Linked DNA regions of Cricetulus griseus. The main gene of each other region encodes a partner of the protein of the gene in region 2 in a complex. Links are inferred from orthologs where the notes say so. Each region holds a gene or a part of one and is shown on either strand. Other genes may lie near its edges.

Region 1 (3,654 bases), on a different chromosome or scaffold from region 2:
GTGTGTGTGTGTGAGAGAGAGAGAGAGAGAGAGAGAGAGAGAGAGAGAGAGAGAGAGAGAGAGAGAGAGAGAGAGAGAGAGAGAGAGAGAAGAGAGAGATTCTTTATATAGTGTTACTCAAATTTTCTAGTTCTTTTTGGATCAGTTTTGAGTAAATTGTGCTTTTAAAGGAATTTATTTTCTCTAAGTGCTTGAGCTTGTTAAAGTTGTTCATAATCTAGCCTTGTTCTTAGAGTATTTGTAGACTATAGTTATGACTACACATTCCTTTATTTTTTAATTACCACTTGGTAATACATGTTTTCTTTCTATTGTAAAAGGCTTATTAATCTTTTCTTCTTAACCTATCAACTTTAGGCTTCGTTAGTTTTCTTTCCTTTCTATTGCATTGCTTTTTACTCTAATGTTTATTCCCTTTGGCTTACTTTGGGTTTACTTTATTCTTTTCCTAGCAAAAGTAGAAAAAAAAAGTTGATGTTCAAAATCAAATAAGACATAGGAACTCAATGACAGAAAGACTATGGTTTATGTGTATTTGTCTCTAACATACAACAGGCCCTTAAATTATTTATTGATGAATGCTGTAATAGAGAAAGCAGACAGGGAAGCTAAATAATGTCAAAAGAGAGTCTAGGCTTTTATGACATCATTAGAATGACTTTATGGTCTTGTCTATGCCTTTGCTCACGTTGTTCTTTCATTTTAGAATATTATCTTCCCTTCCTACCTGTTGAATATCTCCTTAGCTTTTAACAGTTGTGCTCCTCAATGTTATTTGTCCATTAAATTTTATCATGTTTTATAATGGCTAGTGCAGTTGGCCAAAGCATGTTCATCTTTTGAGGCAAGGTTTTAACTGTGTGGCTCAGGCTGGCCTCGGTTTTAGAATCCTTCGCTCTCTGCAGAAATTATAGGTGTGCGCCACTACATCTGGCCTCCGGGGGCTTTTTGAGAACAGCATTTCTTTCCTGGTCTTTGCAGTACTGTTGTTTAGCTCCTTATTTAATGCATGTTAAGTGACTGAAAGGCCAGGAGGGGGAAAGGCATTGGCAAGACTCTAAACTGGCCTACAGAGAACTGATGAAACCTTTTATATAGTGTATATATCTCCAAAGAATCATTCTTCCTGCTGGGCATGGTGGTGCACCACTCAGGAGGCAGAGGCAGGGGATCTCTGAGTTGGAGGCCAGCCTGGTCTACATAGTGAGTTCTAGGACAGCCAGGGCTACATAGAAACCTTGACTCAAACAAACAAATAAAAACAGATTAGTTTTTCTTCATCTGCTTTGTTGTTTTCTACCCTCTGGAGTTATGTCTGTGAGCTTTAAAGAAGCTGCATAGGAACAAATGCACACTTAAACATATGCATACTTTTTGTTTTGTAATGTGCTTAATTTATTCCTGATGGCAACAGGGGGAAGCGAGTAGACTTATCTGATGAGGAAGCAAAGGAAACCGAAAACCTGAAGAAAAAGAGGAGAAGAATCAAGCTCCCTCAGTCCGATAGCAGTGAAGATGAAGGTAGACATTGGTGTTAATTCTTGTTAGGGATAATTTCTTGGTTCATGCGTGAGGATCTAAAATTTTCTCTTACTATGAACTACAATGGCAGCAGTAGTACTAGCAATTAGAATATCTCTCTTTGAAATCTGCTGTAATCTTTTTATCAGAATAGTGATCATTTGGTAACTTGTGAAAATACAGAAAACAGAAAGTATGACTACTTTTACACATACTATCTAAGCCCTTTCTTTTCTCTTTAAGGCTAGTGTTCTTTTGGCTACCTTCATGTACATATTCTAGACACACCAAAAAATAAAACTGAGGTCAAACTGGAAGATCATACATAGTGTCACTGTTGAAAGGGAGTGACACTGTGGACCTGCCAGGGTCAAGATGTGGGCACTGTAGTAAGATAAGCAAGCAGAATAAACACAGGAGTCTCTACAGGGAAATTAATATGCTTTTAAAACAAATATCAAGTACTTTTAATTAAAAAAAATATGTATTAGGTGTTTCATTTACGTGTTTGTATGTGCACCATATGTATACAGTTCTCAGAAGAAGGCATTAGAAAGTGGTGAGCTGCCTGCTATCTGGGTGCTGGGAATTGAACCCAAATCCTCTGAAAGGGCAGCCAGTGCTCTTAACCTCTGCACCACCTCTCCAACCCTAATATCAAGTACTCTTAAGATCTTACCCCAAACCATGTAAAGTATATAGAAAAAAACCAAAGAGAAAGTTTCTTAGACTACATTGTGCTATCCAGGAAAGTATGCAGAGAGAATGGGGCTAAACCTGGAGCTGTCATAGCAGTTTAAAGAGAGAAGAATGATAATGCAAAAAGGAGCCTGACTGTCAAAGGACAAAACTAAAGATAAAATAATTGCTAGAAACAGTCGCTAGAGTAACTGAAAAAAGGTGATATAGCCTCTGCCCCAAAGGGCACTAACTATACAAGTGAGTGGAAAAACACACTACATTAATGTACATTGAGAAGATAGGGGCTGGGGAAATAGTTCCATCAGTAAGTGTTCGCCTCATAAGCACGAAGGTCTCTCCTGTCACCTGTGTAAGAGGTGTGCACTTGTAATCCCAGCACTGGGGAGATGGAGTCAGGCTGATCCCCAGAGCTGGCTAGGCAGTTAGCGTAGCCTAGTGAGCAAGCTTTGGATCCAGCTGCAGAGCCCAACTCAAAACACACAGGCATCTCCTGGGAACAGCATCTGTTGTTGAGCATTGTCCTCCACACATATGTATAAACATGTACACCCACACACACTTGAACATGCACATACTCCTTTTACTCACAAAGCTAAGACTTTGTGAGTAGAAACTGAATAGTCTAGTGTTACTGAAAGCGCCAGTTCTGAATTGAGTTCCTGGGTTGATTGAGCACTCTTGCATACTTCTGAAATATTCTATTGTTCTGTAGCCCACAAAATAATAATACCCAAGGGCTATTAGAATGTGACTGTGGTTGCTCAGTTGGGAAAGGACTGCAAAGAAATGTGATGGAGGTGAGCAGCACGTGACAACAGGATGACAGAGAGCAGAAGCCCTCAGGTTCTTTTCTCTGGCAGAGATAATTTTTGGCATCTGAGTGAACTTATAAAAGTCTACCATTTTATTCTATAATTTCTGTGTCTGAAAGCCAGCAGGATTTTATTTTGAACCTTTACACAGTCTCTTTTTATTTGTGTTCCACTGATTATAATAGCTTGATCTGCTGTCTCAGGCTAGTCATTAACAGATGTGCGGCAGGCGTGTAGGAGATGGCAAGGGCTCCAGAGTCAGACAGACCCAGGTTAAATCTTCCTGCACCCTTACTAGCTGATGTTAGGCAGGTGCCTTAACTTCCAGTCCCTGTTTACTCTTCTAGAACTGCAGTGTTACTACAAACTAGCTTTTTGTAGACATTAAAACAATACATCAGAAATGCCCAGACAGCACTTGACACACAGTAGCTTTTCACATTGTGCCCCTCCCCCCACTCCATCCTTATATGTGAGCCTCGGCAAATTCCTTTCACCTTCTTATTGGAAAGGCTCTCCTTCACCCTGGAAGTGCCATAAGCGCCCTTAGTAGTTCTACATAATTAAAAACAAAACAAAACTGTTGCTAGGAAGAAACAGTTTTTATGGCTGTGTTAAG
Region 2 (3,654 bases):
TAAAGAGTCAATAATGTTTTGATGCAGAAAACATAGCTGTCAGTTTTGTTTACTTATGTTTAGTTAAATTCTGATGTTTTGATGAGTGCCAGCTATCGTTTGCATTTTAAATAAATTTAAGTGGCTCTTCACTTCCTGCTCTATGTTAAGGGGCAGTCTTCTTCTGAATCAGTTGTCTTTCTTTTAATTGTTTTCAGTTTGTGTTCTTCTTTCACTGGCCTTTTATGAGAGTTGGATGTACTCAAAATTGACTATCATAACATAGTCCATGAACAATACAGATGCAGCCAGAACCTGAGACAAGTAGAAATGGGTGGGGATTTATTTGTTTATTTTTTGCATCCAACTTGTATGATTTTTCCATGTAGTCAGCCCATCATTACTAATAAGTCAAATTGACATTAGGGTGACTACCTTAAGACAACATGTGGTGGTGACAGAAATCTGACCCTTAGTATGTATGGTATTGTGTGTGTTACCCCATTATCTGGAGTCCCAACTAATTGGAATAATGCTATAGACATTTGAAAGAATGAATCACTGATAAAATCCTCTTTTGTATTTTTTGTTATTTAGATGTTTTTATGAATACAAATGAATTGTCTTCTTTAGTATTTAAAAATGTAGAGTAGCTAGGATGTAAATTGAGTATAGCATATGTCATAGAGTCTGCATTTGTTAAACTTGGGACTATAAATTTGACTTAGATTGCCTTGGTTATCTGTGGCATCTAAATACACTTTTCCGGTTAATTGCTGTCTTTTTTCTTATTAAAAATTGTACACGGAGTTGCTAGCACACACTTGATTCTTACATGATATCATCTGGAATAGTAGTAAGCCCAGTGTGTGCTTAAATACAGTCATGTCAGTTCTCATCTTGACTGAAAGGCTAACTAGAATCAGGGTGCTGATCCCATGTAGTGGTGTTGGGTTTCATGTGTTAGAGAATTACTTACATGAAAACCAAATGTAAAACCAGAAGAAGGAACTCAGGGAAAACTTTTTTTCATTTTATGAAAAATAGATGTTATTCACAGTAAATGACAGTTACTGTGCTTTGGAATTTAGAGGTAATAGGTTCTAGTTAGTTTTTGTGGGAAAAGTTGCAGAAAACCAATGGACATAGGGCCTGTGCATGCCTGTTATTTCAGTATTTGATAAACTTAAGTAAAAGGCTGTGTAAGTAGTCGGTAACTCAGACCCTATTTTCACAAAAAAGTAAGTAACAAAAAAAGGAGAAGAAAGAAAAAGTTCTTGTTTCTTTAGTTTGGCTAAGAATTATTGTTTGTTCAAGTAAGAATATAGTGTTTATGGTTTAATTTTTCAGTATTTAAGAGGGAAACAGTAAATCACAAAGAAAATTTGTATTTAAGCTTTCAAGTTAGATACATTAACTTAATTCTTCTTATACTTTAGAAATCACATAATTAAGAAGATTGAGACAGAAAATGAAGTGAAAGCAAATGGACTGAGCAGTTGGAATGAAGAAGATACAAATGATTTTAGTTTTGTGGATCTGGAACAGACATTTCCAGGAAGGAAACAAAATGGAATATTGCATCCCAGAGACACCTCTGTCATTTTTAATGGACACTCTCATAGCTCTAATGGTGCCTTAAAGACACAGGATAGCTTGGTGCCTGTGGGCAATAGTGTTGCTAGCAGGCTTTCTTTAGATTCTGCCCAGGAGGAGAAGGCAGAGAAGAGCAACACTGACTTCAGAGACTGCACAGTACAGCAGTTGCAGCAGAGCACCAGAAATACAGATGCTTTGCGGAATCCACACAGAACTAATTCTCTCTCATCGTCTTTGCACAGTAACATTAAAATCAATGGTGCTCACCACTCCACTGTTCAGGGGCCTTCAAGCACAAAAAGCACTTCTGTTGTGACTCTTAGTAAGCACTTCTGTTGTGACTCTTCAGTGCCATCCAAACCATCAGACTACAATTTTATCTCAGATTTCTATTCTCATTCAAGACTCCATCACATCTCAACATGGAAGTGTGAATTGACTGAGTTTGTCAATACCCTACAAAGACAAAGTAGTGGTATCTTTCCAGGAAGGGAAAAGTTAAAAAAACTGAAAACAGGCAGGTCTTCCCTTGTTGTAACTGACACAGGTAGATACTAAAATTGTTTTCTTCAAAACAGTTATATTTGATGATTTTGTTTCATTGGTATTCTAATCATTATAAACTTCTTAGTATAAAAAGCCTCCAGGAATGCCAGGTTATGTAAGTTAACAGTAAGTATAACACTAAACTTTGTTATTTTATGTTAGATTTAACTGTGGCTAACTGAAAATATTAGGCCATTTCAATGCTGTCAGAACTGGGATTTCAAGTATTCCTTCCTCATGTAGACTTTATACATTGTTGAAGTTTTGAACTGTATAAATATAACATTTTATATTCCGTGCCTAATCTGTGAGAATGAAGTTGTTTGGTAAGGGTAATTGTGAATTTCTTGAAGCTTACTTCATAATTCACTTTTAAAAAATTAAACACTGACCTAATTATTGTACTTAGAGTGGTAAACTTAGTGAGATTATTTTCACATCTGTGTAGATTGTTGATAATTTGTGTGTGGCTTAATGTTTGTCATCCAAATCCAACAGGAAGCTGTTTTGTGACAGTCATTACTTAAACTAGAGTCTAGTTTAGACCTAGTTTGAAGTTTCAGTTGTTTTTGACAAAGGGTTTGACGTTTTTTTTCTTTTGTGGGCGTGGCACAAAGTTCCAAGATTATGTGATAATCTTTATAACTGTGGAAAGGGAGGCATAAAGAGAAAGACGATAATGGTGTTTTAGATCCATGTGAGTTTTTTGTTGCTGCTATATTGGTTTTATATATATTTCAACATGTTTTTAGTCAAAATGATTTTTCAGTATTTCTGAAATATTTCAGAGTAATGCCATAGTTCTTATGTCTTGGTCTTTACAACCTTAAGGTTACTTAATTTTGAAAGCTTTAAAATACTTTTATGAATTAGGTCTATTGATGGGAATAAATTCATAATCTTCTATGTTGTAAGAAAGCATTTGGTAGGTATTTGGTTTATACATTCTGTATCCCTTGAATATTTAATACTATTTTGGGTTGTTTACATTTTGTTTCATGTTTTTATACAGTAGAATTGCGATTGTTGTTTGCCTAACATGTGCAAGGCTCTGAGTTTGATACCTAGCACTGCCAAAGAAAGAAAGATTATGATTGTTAAAATGTACTTGATAAATCTTTCTGAAGGTAGCATAGAGAACGGCAAGGAAGTGCAAGGGTTTGAGTTAGATAGCTTAGCTTGAATCCAAATCCTTACTCTGCCACTTTGTGCCGTGGGAACATGCATTTGCCTTTCTTGCCTGTTTCTTCTCTGCAAGAGGAGTGATAGGAATCAGTGATGTCCAGCTTATGGGTTATCCACTTGAAGATAACATGAAGATTCAGTGCCTTGCACATAGTGAGACAAAGTAAATGTCTTACAGTTAATATGTGAAGTAGCACAATTACTAGGGAGTAAGTTTAAAAAAAAAAAACTATCATAAAGCCGACAATCAAGAATATTCTCTGAGATCAGAACTTCTTGCAAGCCGTAGTTCTTAAATTTAGGTACTATACTATTACATTTAGAGCACCAGGAGGAGTAATAGTA
Region 3 (3,454 bases), on a different chromosome or scaffold from region 2:
ATTTAAAAGGTAGGCAAGCGAGCTAAAAATAAGCTTTCTCTTAAAAAAATAAAGTAGGTAAACACACTGACCATATGAAGTTTCATTTTTACTTGTTCCTTCTTTTTACTCACTTCATCTGCTTAACTGACTAAAAATCAAATTTAATGAACTATAGAAATGATCCTGGAAGGTATTAGCAGTGGAACCAGTATTTATCCCTAGTGTACACACAGACTTTGGGAGTCTATTCCCCATGGAGGGATACTCTCTTAGCCTAGACACATGCAGGAGGGCCTAGGCCCTGCCCCAAATGACTTGACAGACTTTTATGATCCCCATGAAAGGCCTCACCCTCCCTGGGGAGTGGATGTGGGGGTCAGTGGAGGGGCATGGGAGGATGGTAGAGGGAACCATGATTGATATGTAAAATAAGATTGTTTCTAATTTAAATAAAATTTGTAAAAAATAATAATTTAAAAAGAGGTCATGAATTTGAGAGGGACTGAGAGGGAGGGACACAGGAGAAGTTGGAAGAGAAAGAGTAAGAGAAGAAAATGATGTAAACACATTACACATGTAAGAAATTCTAAAAAAAAAGTTTTAAAATTTTATTTAAGTTATTAAATATATATGATGGTATTCAATTAAATGACAAACTTAATTGAAAATAATTTATTATTTAATGTGGAAAACAATAAAAATAAATTTCAGATGGGAGAAAACAATAAATACAATAATATCTACTTTTTAATACATTAAATCAGTTTCACTGAATTTTATAAATAATTTACATAAGTAAATCACAATCAATAACCAAAACACCACAGCTTTGGAACTGTCATGGTGAGGACAATCAGGTAAGGGACTGGCACGTCAGTAAGCTTTCAGCTCATCTATGAACAGGCTGGTAATTAAAAGTCAGGTTACAACTGTGGCAAAGGCTTTGCCCTAAGGAAGGTATCCCTCAAATATTTGTCTACTCTAAATGCACTAAGATATTCAAAGATCAAACTATAAGAAAAAAGATTCAGTTCTCTTTTTCCCTTTTTTTGCTTTTATGACACACAGTTTCTGTGTAGACCAGACTGTCCTGGAATTCACTCTGTAGACCAGGCTGGCTTCCAACTCAGAGCCTGCCTCTGATTTTCGAGTGCTGGGATTAAAGGTACCACCACCTCCTGGCAAGATTTAGTTCTTAAAGCAGTAGCAAAAGGGGATTTTTGATAAGAACTTGTGGGTGGCACCATGTTTGGAGCAACTCCTTAACTGCTGCAAATCTTTCTTCTTTCACAAATGTTAACAAAGGTGTGACAGGCATGTCACTGAGGTCAGTGCTATGCTTTCTAAGGCATGCATCTTCTGAGTTGCACATTTTCTCTTAAAGAGTAGAATGAAAATCAAGTGACAACACAACTTATCTTGTCTACTACAGATTTGTAGAAAGTTAAATACATTTACCAAGAAAAGAAATACTGCTATTTAAAGTTACTGAGTTAAAAAACAAACTATTTTGAATTGTGTACTAAAGATTTCTTTATGTGAACCAAGTGCTTATTTGTAAGGTAAAAGAATTGTAAGGAAAAACAACTAACAATAGTTTGAACAAGTCCTTCAAACACAGATAATACTGTGCATTGCTTTCATGAAGGTAACACGTGTACCCATTGCTATTTCTGTTAAACCAATGTTCTTCATAGACCTCATGGTTAAATCTAACTACAAATGCTCACAGAACACTTAAATTAGACACAAGAGCAAGTACAGCAGCATCCAATGGCACCACGGCGGCTAAGCACTGAGATGCTCATGCTGCAACTAGTGCACACAACTCAGACTCCGTAAGTATTTTATGCTCATTATAAAATAATACATCATCTTCTGACCTCCCCTTTTACTTTCATTTTAAAGCTGTCTTTAACATGACTGATTTCCAACTGATGTACACTGGAAATGAAATCTTATGGTTATTAAGGGAAATATAAAGAAATAAGTTAATATGCAGTCTACATTCCTTAAAAAGGTCATATGAGGAGGTAATATTGCACTTGTCTTCCCTAGATGAATCTTAAAAATGAGGAAGGCTAAATACACTGGTTATAAAACTAAGAATTTCAATAAGAATGTTGATAAAATGTTCAAAGTTCATTTAAAAAACATATCAAGGGTGTGTCTGGGACTTCGGGGTTTTGTTTTCTTTGATGTAGACCACTTTGTCCTCTGTCTCCGCCTGGAATGAGAAAGAATACATAACTTCTATGTAGAAGGAAATACTTGAAAATAATTTTGCAAAAACAGTTCTTAAAATGTTACTTGATTAAAGTTATTAAAGCAAAGTTTAGCCCCTTAAACTCAGATTAAACATGAGTTTGTGGCTCTCTTTACTCAAGTTCAAGATAGGCATACCTTTTTGTCCTTCCTGCAGCCTTCTGAAGTCTGCCTGTAAGGTAAAGAAAGCCAAGAAATTCCATGAGGAAAAGGTAAAATCATTGAAAAGCATCACAAAAATTAAAGAGACAAAACTGACAGATTAAATAGTATGCATATCCCAAACAATTTTTAAGAATATTGTATTACATTAATTAAATTAGTGCTTCCATGTACATGTGCACATGTATGGAGGTCAATGGACGACTTTTGGAAGTCAGTTCTTTCCTTCCATCATGTGGTCCAGAGATGAAAATCAGGTTGAAAGGCACCTACACCCTCGAGGCACAACTGCCAGCCTCACAAGGTTAATCTCATATTGTCGATCCCTTAGAATTTACTAGTTCTACTGGCATTAAACTTAATTTCTGCAATCTTGCTACAGTCAGCACTACAGAGAAACAAGTGAAAGGCTTCCTGTCTCTGTAAACACAGCCAATTTGTCACTGTGCACTAGCAGATGTTTCCCAAGGGAATTTCTTTTGTGTAGATCACTCTGATCCTTCAACTTTTAACTTCATTCTACACTGAATCAAAACTAAACTGGGGTTTCCCCTAAATTCAAAAGCTCAGTTTGAGCTATTTCTAGCCATGGGAAGGCAGAACTAATATTTTCCTCAATGAGAGCAAACCCAAGACACCTTTTTAATAGTAAGTATTTCAAACTTAAGTTTCAGGGATTTTAATAAGACATCTCTAGAAAATCACATTGCTCTTTTTTAATTTTAAGTGCATTGGTGTTTTGCCTACATGTATGTCTGTGTACTGTGTGTGCCTGGTGCCTGTTGAGGGAGGAGTTACAGATGTTGTAGGTACCATGTGGGTTCTGGGGACCAACCCCAGGTCCTATGCAAGATCAGCAAGAACTACTGCACCCCCTCCTCCCCCACTTAATAACTGCAAGCTCACCAGTATTTCTGGAGCTTTCTTTGTGTTGGCCAACTGAATTAACTTCATTATTCCTCAGTTCTTGGATAATGCCTTTATTTAAGCAAATATCCACATGCACATTGAAGAGGGTAAGGTCAGAAGTCTTCTGTTCTAGGTT

Evidence for each region.
Region 1: the proteins of Rev1 (region 2) and Pold3 are in contact, whole or in part, in an NMR structure (PDB 2N1G), measured with the Homo sapiens proteins. The link is inferred for Cricetulus griseus from reciprocal best matches to the Homo sapiens genes REV1 and POLD3. Residues at the interface, in NP_057400.1 of Homo sapiens: Asn1158, Leu1159, Ala1160, Gly1161, Leu1171, Leu1172, Glu1174, Trp1175, Ile1179, Met1183, Glu1184, Glu1185, Asp1186, Gln1189, Val1190; in NP_006582.1 of Homo sapiens: Gly232, Asn233, Met234, Met235, Ser236, Asn237, Phe238, Phe239, Gly240, Ala242, Ala243, Met244.
Region 3: the proteins of Rev1 (region 2) and Polk are in contact, whole or in part, in an NMR structure (PDB 2LSI), measured with the Homo sapiens proteins. The link is inferred for Cricetulus griseus from reciprocal best matches to the Homo sapiens genes REV1 and POLK. Residues at the interface, in NP_057400.1 of Homo sapiens: Asn1158, Leu1159, Ala1160, Gly1161, Ala1162, Asp1167, Leu1171, Leu1172, Glu1174, Trp1175, Thr1178, Ile1179, Met1183, Glu1185, Asp1186, Gln1189, Val1190; in NP_001374042.1 of Homo sapiens: Lys564, Lys565, Ser566, Phe567, Phe568, Asp569, Lys571, Arg572, Arg575.

Annotation. Positions count from the first base shown.
Region 1 is NC_048596.1:99,449,803-99,453,456, forward strand, and holds part of Pold3 (DNA polymerase delta subunit 3), read left to right. Parts: intron 1-1,414; coding exon 1,415-1,521; intron 1,522-3,654. UniProt on the Homo sapiens protein: Accessory component of both the DNA polymerase delta complex and the DNA polymerase zeta complex.
Region 2 is NW_023276807.1:10,161,909-10,165,562, forward strand, and holds part of Rev1 (DNA repair protein REV1), read left to right. Parts: intron 1-1,418; coding exon 1,419-2,125; intron 2,126-3,654. UniProt on the Homo sapiens protein: Deoxycytidyl transferase involved in DNA repair. Transfers a dCMP residue from dCTP to the 3'-end of a DNA primer in a template-dependent reaction.
Region 3 is NC_048595.1:315,165,055-315,168,508, forward strand, and holds the end of Polk (DNA polymerase kappa), read right to left. Parts: coding exon 3,316-3,454; intron 2,420-3,315; coding exon 2,386-2,419; intron 2,210-2,385; coding exon 2,125-2,209; 3' UTR 644-2,124; downstream 1-643. UniProt on the Homo sapiens protein: DNA polymerase specifically involved in DNA repair. Plays an important role in translesion synthesis, where the normal high-fidelity DNA polymerases cannot proceed and DNA synthesis stalls.